Drosophila melanogaster: one gene and its partner. The protein of the gene in region 2 binds, or shares a complex with, the protein of the main gene of each other region. Each region holds a gene or a part of one and is shown on either strand. Other genes may lie near its edges.

What was found. The genes of interacting proteins can lie anywhere in the genome.
Region 1: E(bx) (region 2) and Nurf-38 share a complex: the UniProt entries of both Drosophila melanogaster proteins name them as parts of the NURF complex.

What each region holds. Positions count from the first base shown.
Region 1 is NT_033778.4:24,557,290-24,563,392, forward strand, and holds Nurf-38 (nucleosome remodeling factor - 38kD), read right to left. Parts: upstream 3,799-6,103; 5' UTR 3,772-3,798; coding exon 3,564-3,771; intron 3,122-3,563; coding exon 3,003-3,121; intron 2,937-3,002; coding exon 2,541-2,936; intron 2,486-2,540; coding exon 2,334-2,485; intron 2,276-2,333; coding exon 2,166-2,275; coding exon of another isoform or gene 2,134-2,165; exon of another isoform or gene 1,863-2,133; intron 1,844-1,862; coding exon 1,812-1,843; 3' UTR 1,678-1,811; downstream 1-1,677. Other genes in the region: CG11414 (uncharacterized protein), read left to right, coding at 4,571-4,849, 4,908-5,053, 5,117-5,680, 5,738-6,103. UniProt on the Drosophila melanogaster protein: Component of NURF (nucleosome remodeling factor), a complex which catalyzes ATP-dependent nucleosome sliding and facilitates transcription of chromatin.
Region 2 is NT_037436.4:243,137-249,664, forward strand, and holds the start of E(bx) (enhancer of bithorax), read right to left. Parts: upstream 3,777-6,528; 5' UTR 3,247-3,776; intron 3,188-3,246; 5' UTR 3,081-3,187; coding exon 2,792-3,080; intron 2,340-2,791; coding exon 1-2,339. Other genes in the region: mthl14 (methuselah-like 14), read left to right, coding at 4,865-4,980, 5,066-5,485, 5,540-5,729, 5,783-6,206, 6,265-6,341, 6,396-6,514. UniProt on the Drosophila melanogaster protein: Histone-binding component of NURF (nucleosome remodeling factor), a complex which catalyzes ATP-dependent nucleosome sliding and facilitates transcription of chromatin.

The DNA.
Region 1 (6,103 bases), on a different chromosome or scaffold from region 2:
TAGTATATGCATACCTATCTAAAGCTAAAGCCTTACATATATCCGAATACGAGTACCCTACACACATGCTAAATATTAGAGAGAAACGCAAGATCGCAATTTGTGCAAGACACAAACAAAAACCTGGTAAAAACACGCGAAGAACGGAACGACTGCATTACAAATGTGGCAATAAATAATACATAATTAATAAAACCCTGTAAATTAATAAAGGATAATCAATCATTCGCTGGCTATTTGAGAGCATCAAAATTGTGATAAATGAGAATTAGAATGCGAATGCGCGACGCAGGACACCGCCAGAGAAAGAGACCGCCATACAGAAGGCGACAGAGACAGACAGACTGCAGCTGGCGATTTGCGCGCGTTTCTGGCGCGACTAAAAACGCCTGCTTACCGTTTTTGTTTTGGTACGTTATAATTTTCTTTTGTTTTTAATTAATTATTTGATTTTTGACCTTGTGCATTCTTGGCTTTTAACTAGCACTCAAGCTAAAAATTTGACCAACTATGCTTTACTTTTTGTTAAATTCCTCAATAATCCTCGAACTGTTGAGCTCGTATTTTTTGAGCAAACAAACAGAACAAGATTTTGAGAACAATAATTTTTGTGATATATTCAACCATACCTGAATATGGCTTTTGAACTTTGGCTCTTTTTTCTTCTGAGCAAGCTATACACCAAATTAAAAAAAATCAGGTTTCCTAATTCCTCCTCCTCCTTTTGTTTTTGAACACAGGCAAGAATGCTTCGGATCGCCCTTCTTCAACGCCTGCATAGAGGCTCTTCAGCTGCACGAGGAGATGGACAAGTATAACGAATGGCGCGATACCCTGGGTCGCAAGTAAAGTGCGATTCTCTGGGATTTTCTGGCACCGTCACTGGCACGAGCAGCTACTTAATTCTATGAACTATTAACTAAAACTATTATTATTGATAACTGTGGCAGAACACGGCACGAAACTATGGCAACCAGGAAACGATCGACCCGAGGAATGTGTACCACTTGAAGAAACAACTAAGCTAACATCTAGCTACAAGAGAAAGCAGAGCAAAAATGTTGAAAAAAAAATTATGAAGACAATTACTAAACTATTACACGCTACTTATCCGCACTTATATCGGAAAGTCTAAATTGGTCTATATGTTATTTCTATCATCTGTCATGAAACAGTCTCGTGGAGCTTTTAGTTGTAGTGAATTACGTAAATTATGCTTATTTCTTTTAGTTCTTCGCGCAGAAGGAAAGCAAAAAGTTATGCCAAGAATCAAATATGAGAAGAAACAAACAAAAAAAAAACAAGCAAACAAAAAAACGAACGAACAAACGAACAAGAATCAAAATGTCTGATGTATATAACTATTTTTGTCTTCTTTTAAAGATTTCTATACATATTTATAACGCCTAACTGATTTGTACATTTCTTTTATTTCGTAAGCTTAAGTTAATTTGTTACGGCAATAAATTTTACGTTCCACACCTTCCCACACATGCTCTCCTGCAATAGAACGGAAATCACATCTGAGCAACACCACACGGCATAATTCGATTCGATTCTATGTAGTATTGCAATGCCTTACAATTACATAACTTTTAATTAATTTAAACTTGTTTGGATCTAGTCGTAAAATATAAATAAAGATTGTATATTTCAAGAGGAATCGACAGCGAATTTGATTGCGGTGCAAAACTTTATTCAACGTACGATAATATTTCAGTATTAATAATTCACAAGTGCAAGCATTTTCGATTCGATTGGACTACAGATAGATCATGGATCTTGTGATGGAATCAGCCCAGGAGAACATCTCACTTGAGATGAATGAAATGCCAAGTGTCGACTGCAATTACAAAGGACGTAAATTGGTATAAAAAGGGTTTATTTCAGGATAACATTCAGTATAAAGTATATGTACAACGATTAACGAACGCAAGCAAGCCAATTACATAAATTGGGTTTCAGCAGTATTTACAGCATGGAGTAATCTCAATTTAGCTTGCTAACTGGACAATTAAAGTAGCTATTAGTAAGCGTGCAGGTTGTGTTTGTGTAACCAATTTGTTTGCAAGTTACTGGTGGTTAAAGCGTGTGTTGGAGTAGTGTGTTTTTGGTTGGGATCGGGTGAAGCAGCTATAAGTTCGATCTAATATAGTGAACCTTACCTGTATCAGACACCTCCTCGACCTGGCCGCCATCGGGGGCCTCGGCCAGTATCTTCTCGGCCTCCTCCTTGGGAATGACGTGCTCCGAGTTGCGGTTGGTGATGTTGGTGCTGCGAAACGGACGTACTTAGGATTAATTGTAAATGTATAAAATGGCATTTAACCCACGTGGAGATGGACCCGGATGCGGGGCTCTGGTGCACCAAGTTCTGCCAGAACTTGTGGGTCTCGGCAATGATGGTGTTGGCAAAGTCCGCATTCTTGGCATCGCCGTTGAAAGCAAACTGATTCTCAGGCTTGCCATCGGGGATCTTGTAGATCTGCGAAATGCAAAGGGTAAGAGAGGGAATCGTCCGAAAATCGAATTCCACCCACCTTGAACCACTCAACGGTGGCACGAAGCAGACCCGGGAAGTACTGGTCCACATCGGCGATATCATTGACTTTCGAGGCCAACGGATCGTTCACATCGATGGCGATTATCTTCCAGTCGGTTTCGCCCTCGTCAATCAAGGCAATGGTGCCCAGCACCTTGACCTTCAGCACGTCGCCGCGCTTAGCCACTCGGTAGCCAATCTCGATGACATCGATGGGATCGTTGTCACCCTTGCAGCCGGTGGAGGGCTCGATGTGGTCGGGGTTTTCCCAGGTCTGGGGCAGGGCTCCGTAGTTCCAGATGTAGCCCTTGTGCGGGAAGCAGTTGGCCACGAACCGCAGCTTACCCTTCTTGATGTCCTGCTTGATGGGATTCATAGGGGTCTTCAAGCTAATCTAAGGGTCAGACATGCAATTTTTGTATTATTCAGAAGTATGAATCTTAGGGACAGGCAGACCGACCTCCATTTTCGCGTTGGTCCAACGTGGCACCTCCACCACCATGTTGTAGATAGTTTTCTCCTCGTTGGCGTACAGTGGAATGTCGTGCATCGGCGAGATGACATTGCCGCACTTGTTTTCTGTGGAGAATGGCCAGAAATTATTATGCCTGATATATGGGCGACACCTGGACACGCGATTTGATTAATAGTGACCGGGGACCTGTCGGCTAGACAAAGGTCACTAATTTGCGTGCCAGTAAACCGAAATTCAGCCACCAGTTTCGATATCTGCTATTCGGAATATGGGCTAATAAAGGAAAGAGATAAGCCCAAAGGGGCCGAAACTCTTGGTGTTTCCGCCATTTCCGACGCAAGACAAATCGGATCGGCTGATAGTGCTGATAATGCGTCGAGTTAAATAAGCAGAGTCCGGTTTGACCTGTTGCATAACCATTCCGGTACCGATCAACTAATTCTAGGTGCATTAACTGCACCGAGTTTGGGTAACTTGCAAATGCGCAAGCAAAGGGTTAAGCCGGGTCACATTCACATTTGGCCCCCAATGCGCTACTCTACTCACTGAAATACAGGCTGTAGCTCGGCGAATTCTTAGCGCCCTTCTCAACGGTTTCGTACAGAGCCATCTCGTGTGATTTCGTGCGCTTCCGTTCTATCTGAATATATCTGCAATTGCTGGCAAGGGCCGCTGGTGACGTTGGAATCGAGCCGGACAAGCGACCAACCGCACGTGAAGCGTAAAATGAACTCCTTGTAATTTTCGCCAACATTTTCTTCAGCCCTGAGTTGAGTCTATCGATAGGGCGATAGGACCCGATTTTACAGTTAACAGTGCTGCTCAGAAAATGTATAGCTCGATTCCATTTCATCCATTCCAATGGAGAATGAACTTCATTTTTTCATACAATTAGAACTATTATTATAAATATTATTATATGAAAACTATAACATTATAATTATTATTATTAAATATAAAATACAATATTGTAATTATAATTATTATACAAATCTATTTACAGTATAAATAAGACAACTATCAAAACCTTAAAGATTATTTAGTTTTTGTCAAATCGTAAAAACTTAAACAAAATATGCTTTGAATATGTTCATACCTGCAGAAGAAGCACTTAGAAATATTTTAAAAGTTTCATATAAGTGATTGAATTTTTTATAAATTCGAAGTCAATAGGTTTTACTTGTACTGGTTACTGATCGTTGCGAAATTGTCCGAATTCTGGTCATGTTAACTTAACATTAACAAAGCTTCCAACTGGGAACTATCGGTGCTATCGGGGATCCGAGCAGTGTCATCGATAACATTGGCAATCGAGTTTTCTAAATTCTGAGTTTTCTTTTCGTCTGTCGTGTGTGCGTGTTGCCTTGCTTTCGAGTTGGCGTTGCAAAAATTCCCCTTTATTTTGCTGACGAGATATTCCAAAAGAGTAAACAAACCGGGGGATCCAAGAAACCCCAGCTTTTATCCGAAAGCAGTCGTTACACGTACATTTTCAAGTGCCCGTGGCAACAAGTAAATTCCCCCCCTCCATTCACTGCAAAATCTCTAGTGAAATGCAGAACGGAAAACCGAGATCTTCGGCCAGGCCGTCGTTCCACCGCCGTCCCAAAGACGGAGTGGCCAACACCACCACTGATAACGCTGCTGTCAAGCCGGAGGCCTTGGAGAGCTATACGGGCAACGACGACAACGCCTGCGTGGTGTGCTTCAAAAACGTGGAAATTTTCTCCATCGGCGACTGTGATCATCCCGTGTGCTACGAGTGCTCCACTCGGATGAGGGTTCTCTGCCAGCAGAACGAGTGCCCCATCTGCCGCCACGTCCTGTCCAAGGTAAGTCCTGCGCTTGTCTAGAGAACCGAATCTCTATCTAATTCTAAAACACTTGCAGGTTTTGTTCACACTGGACAAGCTGCCCTATCGCGAACTGGAGGCAAATAACCGCTCTGATTTATACAGCAAGAAGTACCGCATCGGCTTCTGCACCGCAGAGATAAGACAGCAATTCTTCAAATTGCTCGACCATCCCTGCCCGAAGTGAGTATTCTGCCCGCACTTGAGTTGCACCATTGAGGCTCACCCTTCTACGCTAAATTGCAGATGCGATGCACCTCCATACCGCACGTTCGAGGGCCTTCGCAACCATGTTCGCAGCGAGCATAAACTTCTGTACTGTGACCTATGCGTCGAGACCCTCAATATCTTCACCTTCGAACGGAGGTGCTACACTCAGGCGGAGCTGCAGCTACACAACACCAAGGGCGATCCGGACAATCGGTCGCATCGCGGTCATCCGTTGTGCGAATACTGCAATAAACGCTATGTGGACCGTGATGAGTTGTTCCGTCATTTGCGCCGCGAGCACTACTTCTGCCACTTTTGCGACGCCGATGGTTGCAATGAGTTCTACAATGACTATGCGGATCTGGCGGAACATTTCCGGGCGGAGCACTTTCTCTGCGAGGAGGGTAAGTGCGCCACCGAGCAGTTTGTCGGCGCATTCCGCAACGAAATCGAGTACAAGGCGCACGTGGCCAACGTGCACGGCAAGTCGCTCAACAAGCAGCAGGCCAAGCAGACGCGCACCTTGCAGGTGGAGATCACTTTGGGGCCTCGTGGCCGTAGTGGGCAGACGGAGCAGGGCATAACCAGCGTGAGAACCAGGTGAGTGAGCGGCCATCCAATTTGAAGAAGGCACTCTTAGAATGGTAAACCTTACAGGAATGACGAGCACAACGACTACCAGAACGATTTGCCTTCGATCACCCAGCGCCATGTGAGCATTGATGCTGGCAACGAGGAACAGTTTCCCACATTGAGAGGCGCTTCCACAGCTCCCAGCGTATCCTTGGTGAGACCGCCACCGCCCTCGATGCGCAATCTTAGTGGAACTTCTGGTCTTGCTCGGACCAAAGAAAACTTCCCGGCTCTGGGAGGAGGAAATGGAGGTGGTGTTACTGGGCCCACTAGCAGCAGCATTGCCGCCCGGGCTGCTCAATCGCAGCACCCCGTGGCAGCTGTCTTTAAGAAACCCACAAGCGCGGCAGGTTCTGGCAGTCGAAGTGGGCCTCCCGGTAACGGAATGCT
Region 2 (6,528 bases):
CTGCTCCTCGACCTCGGCCAACTTTAAACGGCGATCCAATAAGTCATCTAATCTAGATTTGCGAGCCACTTTTGAATAATAAGTACGGCCTGGAGCATTTAGCGCTTTGCTGACGTCGATGTGCCCTTTGATTTTCTCCGTAACATCTTCTATAACTTTCACATTTTTATATTGGTCCGGTAAATAATGACACACCTGACCATCGACATTGCTTGACTCACATTGTTGCATAAACCGTTGGGTGCGTGGGTCGACTAAAATAATTTCATTTACGTCGTTTTCCTCTCCCATGGTGTAATGTACGTAGACTCTATTGTGTGTTAGAGGTTGGGCTCGACGTGCACGAACACCACAGCGTCGACTGCTTGAGAGCCAAAGCCAGCCCCATTGCCCGTGGACCCGGTATTCTTCTCCTTTTTGCTTCCAGACTTGATGTTTGAGACCCAGGGTATACTTTATGTAGTTAAATGCTAAGCGATTACGTTCTTCCTCATCATCCCGCTCGCGCTTCTCTCGCTTTTCTAGTTTTTTTCGCTCCTCTCGTTCGGCACTAGTTATGCGTTGCAAAGTTGTGTGTCCGAGTTGCTCATGCCAGACGTTGGCAAAAACAACGCTCTTAAGGGACGCTTGAAAAAGTAACAATACTACCGCAAATTCAGAAGGTCGACGGGCGTTCATCACCGCAGCATTCCAAATTTTTTTGTTAACTACCCAGTTAATATTTAAAAAGGAAGCTGCTATATTGGATTCGAAGTTTATCAATGTTTGCCTTAGAGTTGTTATCATATTGTCAGTAGTTCCCATGGTTATACCGATCCATTTAAAGTCAGAAGCCGTCGTTAACGAGAACTTATGGGACAGATGGCGTCGCTTATCTCGCTCCTCGTTTCGTTGCGGCTTGTTGAGTGCAATTGGATTTGTTGAATACTGGTTGACATAGTTCTTAAATCCTTGCTCCATGCCAAGTTTAAAATGCAAAGTACCATTAGTCAGCTGATTGGATTTTTGACGCGTGACCATTTTACATTCTTCTTGTTTTTTTGTTCCCTCTATAGATTGACTCTCAGATTTAGCATCACCATCTTTTTCATCCTCGTCAAGCACCTCTTTCTCCAAAAGTTCATTTTTAGCCTCTTGTTCGATTTCGATAACACTACGCTTCGTGTGTTTGTGTTCATTGGTTAAGGTCTCAGTCAGTTTCATTTGGCGCTCGATTTCGTCTCTCCTTTCTGTAATCTGGCTATGCAGACGAGTTTCCAGTTCTTCGGCGTCCAGTCGACTGAGCAGCAATTTTAACTTACTTGTCGTACTGTAATACCAGCATGTAAAGTTCTCCTGATCCTCGATAAAAATGCGACGTGCAATAAACCAATATTTGCGCCCATGACGATCAACACCGAGGCTATCATGCCGGATTAGCACGCCTTGTTTTTCTTGTGGCAACACGCAGTCCACTACGCCACTTACCTTATGCGAGCGGCAAAGCCCGCACTGCCAATCCTCAGTAGGTACGTCATTCATTGGCGGGTCTACACATTCCAAATGATAGACAGCAGGGCACGTCTCGCAACATAATAAATCACCGAGCCGATGGCACACTCGGCAATGGTCATCATAATGAATAGGTCCCTCCTGCAGCATTACATCTCGTATAGAATTGGAAGTTAAAAATTGATCTGACAGAAACTGGAGCACTTCAAGCCGGTTGTCAATGCCCGTGTAAGGGTATTCAGTGTGGCTTAAAATGTGAAACACGTTGCGATCAAATGTCTTATCGCTTTCTACATAGCTTCGCAAAACTTCCGGCCACGTTATAGAGTCAATCAGGTAAAGACTTATATTAACCGTATCTTTTTGATCCAGCGGGCCAAAATGTGTACCCTGCGCGTCCTCTTCTCGAAGAATCGCTTTAAGCAGCATTATGTGTACCTCCGTCAATAATGCACTTTGCTCCTCACAAGCCAGCGCTGCACACAAGTCTTCAAATCGGAATGGTGAAAGGCGGACCATGTGGCGAAATCGTCGCAGTACTTCATAGATACTTAGCGCGCGCAAAACGTGTGTATTAGCAATGAAAAGATCCTCCGACGAGTCCGGCAAATCAAGCGCTGCATACTGACGACCTTCCTGCAGCCACACAGGTTCTGGGCTAGGAGGACGTGGCGGCCGACCAACTCCATTTTGGTTAAAGCTGCACACGGAAAACTCTGATTCGCTCTCGTTGGCTACTTCTAGGCTCTCGTCGTCGCTGGGAGTAAGCAGCATATCATCCTCATTATCGGATTTATCTTCTTCGGAATCCCCAAAATCTGACCCGTAGTGATACTCCGACTCGTACCCTGAAAAGAGGAACAGTAGCTCTTAGAACCAATATGATTTCACCAACACCTAAGTGCATAAAACCTGACATACTGTCACTGCTATTGTGGACCCAATTTCTACTGAATTGTATTTAAGTAATTGTTATTAAACTCATGCCAACTAGACTGAAAGATTTTTTGTCGTAAGATTTCAAAAATAATCGTTGGTATTAGAGCAGATAGACCTATCGAAACTGACTCGCCCGGTAGTGGTTGTCACGAAAATATTAAATTTGATCTTTTATGAAGCGGAAGCTCTTTAACGCACAGGAAAACTCGTTTGAAGTATGAGTACCATTCAAAACGATCAAAGTTTTCTCCACTGCAATCAATATATGGCACATTATGTTCCCTATTAATCTTCGAACTAGTCAGAGCGAAACTGTAAGTCTTGACTCCCAAGTTAGAGTTTAGGTGCCCCTTTAACCCACCTTTCCTTCCAGAGTAGCTACTGGTGTTCGGTTGCACGGCGGATTTGCGGCCTCGTCCCCTCTTAGCGGCGCTCCCGCGACTGCGATTGGTGTGGTTGTTGTGGCTGCTCCTGCTGCCCTCGTCGCTCTGTGGAGAAATGCCCCTGGATGCCGACGGAGTGCTGGGCTGCGACTTTCCCTCGCTGAGATACTTCGGCTTCTTGAGAAGCTGGTAATTGAAGCGTCCTGATGCGCGTTCGTTGGGCGTCTTTGGCGGACGTCCACGTTTACGGCTGCCGCGACCGCTCATCTTGTTTGTTTTCGCCTTGCGTATTTATCTGGCTGTGTGCAGGGGTGCGTGGGGGTACTCTCCTCAGATATTGTTCCAAGTTAATGCTGCGAGGCTGCACATTAGATCTGAAACGAAAATTAACCCATTAGTACACGGTGCCACAGGAACGCACACCGCATCTCACTCGCACTCAGCTAGCTATGTATTTACGGGGCACATTCAAACACACATTTACTCAACAGCGTATGTGGGGGAAAAATCGATCAGATCGTCAAAAGTTTGTCGTTGGGTGTTCACTTTCTTTGTATTGCGCAAATTTGGAGTTGAAAAAAACCCGCCAAAAGAGCTTGTTTAGTTCAGAATAACGGTTCCGATTAAATACATTAAGTACATGTATTCAAAACACATTCTTGGCTTCTAGTGTTGGACGGCAAACGCACTGGACAGCACCACCAAGTTCGATTGTATGTGTGCGAGTGCGATGAAATGAAGCCAACGCACATTGTCCGCCATTTAAGCAACCGTGAAAATTTTTGCGTCTGTTTAAATGTCACTCTTCTTTCACAATTAACACATGGATTAACTGCGCAAATTACCCAGCATGTTGCGGAATAATTGCACAGGATTTAACACGATATATTCTAATATTTTTAACTATCTTCAGCACACTGCGAAAGAGACTTTTACCTAACATTACAGTTTTGAACATAGCTAAAGACGGTGTACAGTCGGCCAATCACAGCGACTCTTCTATTGCGTGAAGTCAGAAGCGTCCTCTTGCGGTCGGCTTGGAGAACTAATTCTTTATGGTTGCACAAACGATATAGGCAGGGTTGCTTTTGGCATTTACGCTGAACCGCACTGACAGATGTATTTTTATTTTTATCGACGTGTTGAGCGGGCGTTTAAAGAAAACCCGTTAACTTGTAATCAAAATAAACTTACCTTTGCTCACTATCTTAAAAATTAAAACGGTATTTTTGATGCGGTAAAAAAAATGTATTTTTTTGTAAATTTATTTTAGTGTATTACATTCTACCCAATTTCGCATTTTAAATCCTGGTGATCTCATTTCGTAAATTGCCGACCACGAAAAATCCATTAAAAATGTTATCGATAATAAGTTGCCGTTACGATTTTTTGTTTACTGGGAAAGGTTTTTATATTATTATTACTTAAATTTTTTAAAAAATTATTCTAAAAATACTAAATTAAAGTATTTTAATTGTGTTTGTTGAGAAATGTGTTATTGTTAAAGAAATTAGGGTAAACAATTTGCTTTGAAGCCCTGAAAACATCGTTATCTTATCGCCTGCACAAAGTGATTCCATTGCAGAATTAAAACTTCTTTTTCGCTAGTATTACTTTATTAATCAAGCTCAGTGGTTGCATTTTAAATAGCAAGCATAAATTATTTGACATGTACGTAAACAATAATTGCCATAAATAGTTTATTTTTAAAAATACAATAATTGAATAAAATATGATCTAATCAAATAATCAGTGCGCAAAAATTGACATTTAACGCGGTTTTGTATAAGTTGATGAGTGTAATTTTCCGAGTATTGATCAATTCTAAGGAATGTGCTACCACATTCGTCTGACGTCATGTGTTATATTATGATAACGCACTCTACTGGTATCTTACACAGATAAGATAGCCCATATCTTACCAGTTCCCACACCACCTAACTAATGTCAAAATTTGGTTTGTTTACATACTTTCTGTGTAAACGAACTCGGCAATTTTGTTTTATTCATTTTATGCTATATATTTTTTGTAGATTGGTTGAAAAGGCAATATGAATCTAGGCCACTGGAATTTTCTCCTAGCTCTAATCAGTTTACAAACGTTTTTTAACGCCTCCGCACAGATAAGCACTGTAAATAACAGTTCGAAGGGATCAAACAACTCAAAGTAAGAAATACTCAAAATATTTGTTTTCGAAAAATACTAATTTTGGAATCTTTGCATTTTCTATAATATATTTTGCTTTGCTTAGTATTTTCCATGAAGACACATTCAATAGCACTTCGATTGACGTTCTGGACGCCTCAATACATTCAACACTGGTTGTACCTCAAACATATTCGACAGAAGCTGCAACAATATCAGGTGCTAGGTTCGCAACCTCTGTTCCTGTTCAAAGTCCTGTAGACAACCCGTTAGATCCGGCGGACTGTTCTCAACGGGAAAAGTACAGAAAGCAACCAGTTGCAACACCATCGTCTCGTTTAAGAAAATGCTGCCCACATGGAGAAAACTTAAATATATATCGGGAAAATCAAAGCGATTCGATGTGCGACAACGGGCTCTTAAGCTTCGAACCGACTATAATAAGTGCAGTTCTGTTCGATAACTGCATTGAAGATTTGGAGGTTGAGACTACGCTCGACTACGACATTGGAAATCCGTGCAACAGGTATGAAAGCGAATGTTAAATTGAATCAAAGTACAAATTCTTCTGCAAAATTAGTTCTCTTTTGTACGACGACAAAGACGATGTTTTCTTTGTTCTGCAAGACGGTTCGTTATTAATCATCGACAAATTTGGCAACGAATCATACACTGTGAAGGAACATTATTGCTTGGATATTGATAAGTCAGGACACTTGTTTGCCTTTACATGTGTAACCCAAGTGGAAGAACAAATTGCCTTCGCAAAAGTAAGTCAATGTAACATTATTTTCTATTTACCAACGGATGAATATTATTTCAGGTCGTTTTTGTTGCCGTTCTTATGCTTATATCTATGCCCTGCCTGCTATTAGTTAGTTATTTGCACATGACACTTCGTTTATTGCGTAACTTGCATGGTCTCTCGCTAAGTTTGATGTCTCTGTGCTTGGCGTCTGGATACTTTGTGCACTCCGTTGTGCACATCTATGGGATCCCGAACCAAGGGTTCATTGGCTACGTCATACAGTTTTGTATTTTAAGTTACTTCTTCTGGTACTTGTGCATATGCTTCAATGTTCTTTTGAATGTGTGGTACAAGTTGCCTTGCTGCATTCAATGCTCAAAGAGTTGGGCCACCTTTAATTTTGCGTGTTACGCTGTTTTTGCCTTTTCCGGACCGGCCACAATAGTTGCACTAACTGTTCAAAAAGGACTCCCAGGAATGCCGTCTTACTTTCTGCAAGGCAAGTTATTGACTTTAATAGTTAAAAGTATAAGTAGTAACATATGTATTATTTAAAGGCCTAACTGAATCCATCCGAGATTCCCAACGTTACTTTATTCCTCCAGTGTCTACTATACTTTTTCTAAGTTTTTTGGTAAGCACTTCTTTTCGTACCTGTTTTTTGTTTTATGCAATTGTACATTCTTAGCTTAACATCATATCGTTCTTCGGATTTCAACGTATAAGCGGCTACGCCAAGGCTGAAAAAAACATTCAGGAGCGAAAATGCTTGTTTGACCAACAAAAATATGAAGATGTTAAAAAAGAGTGAGTGCAGAATT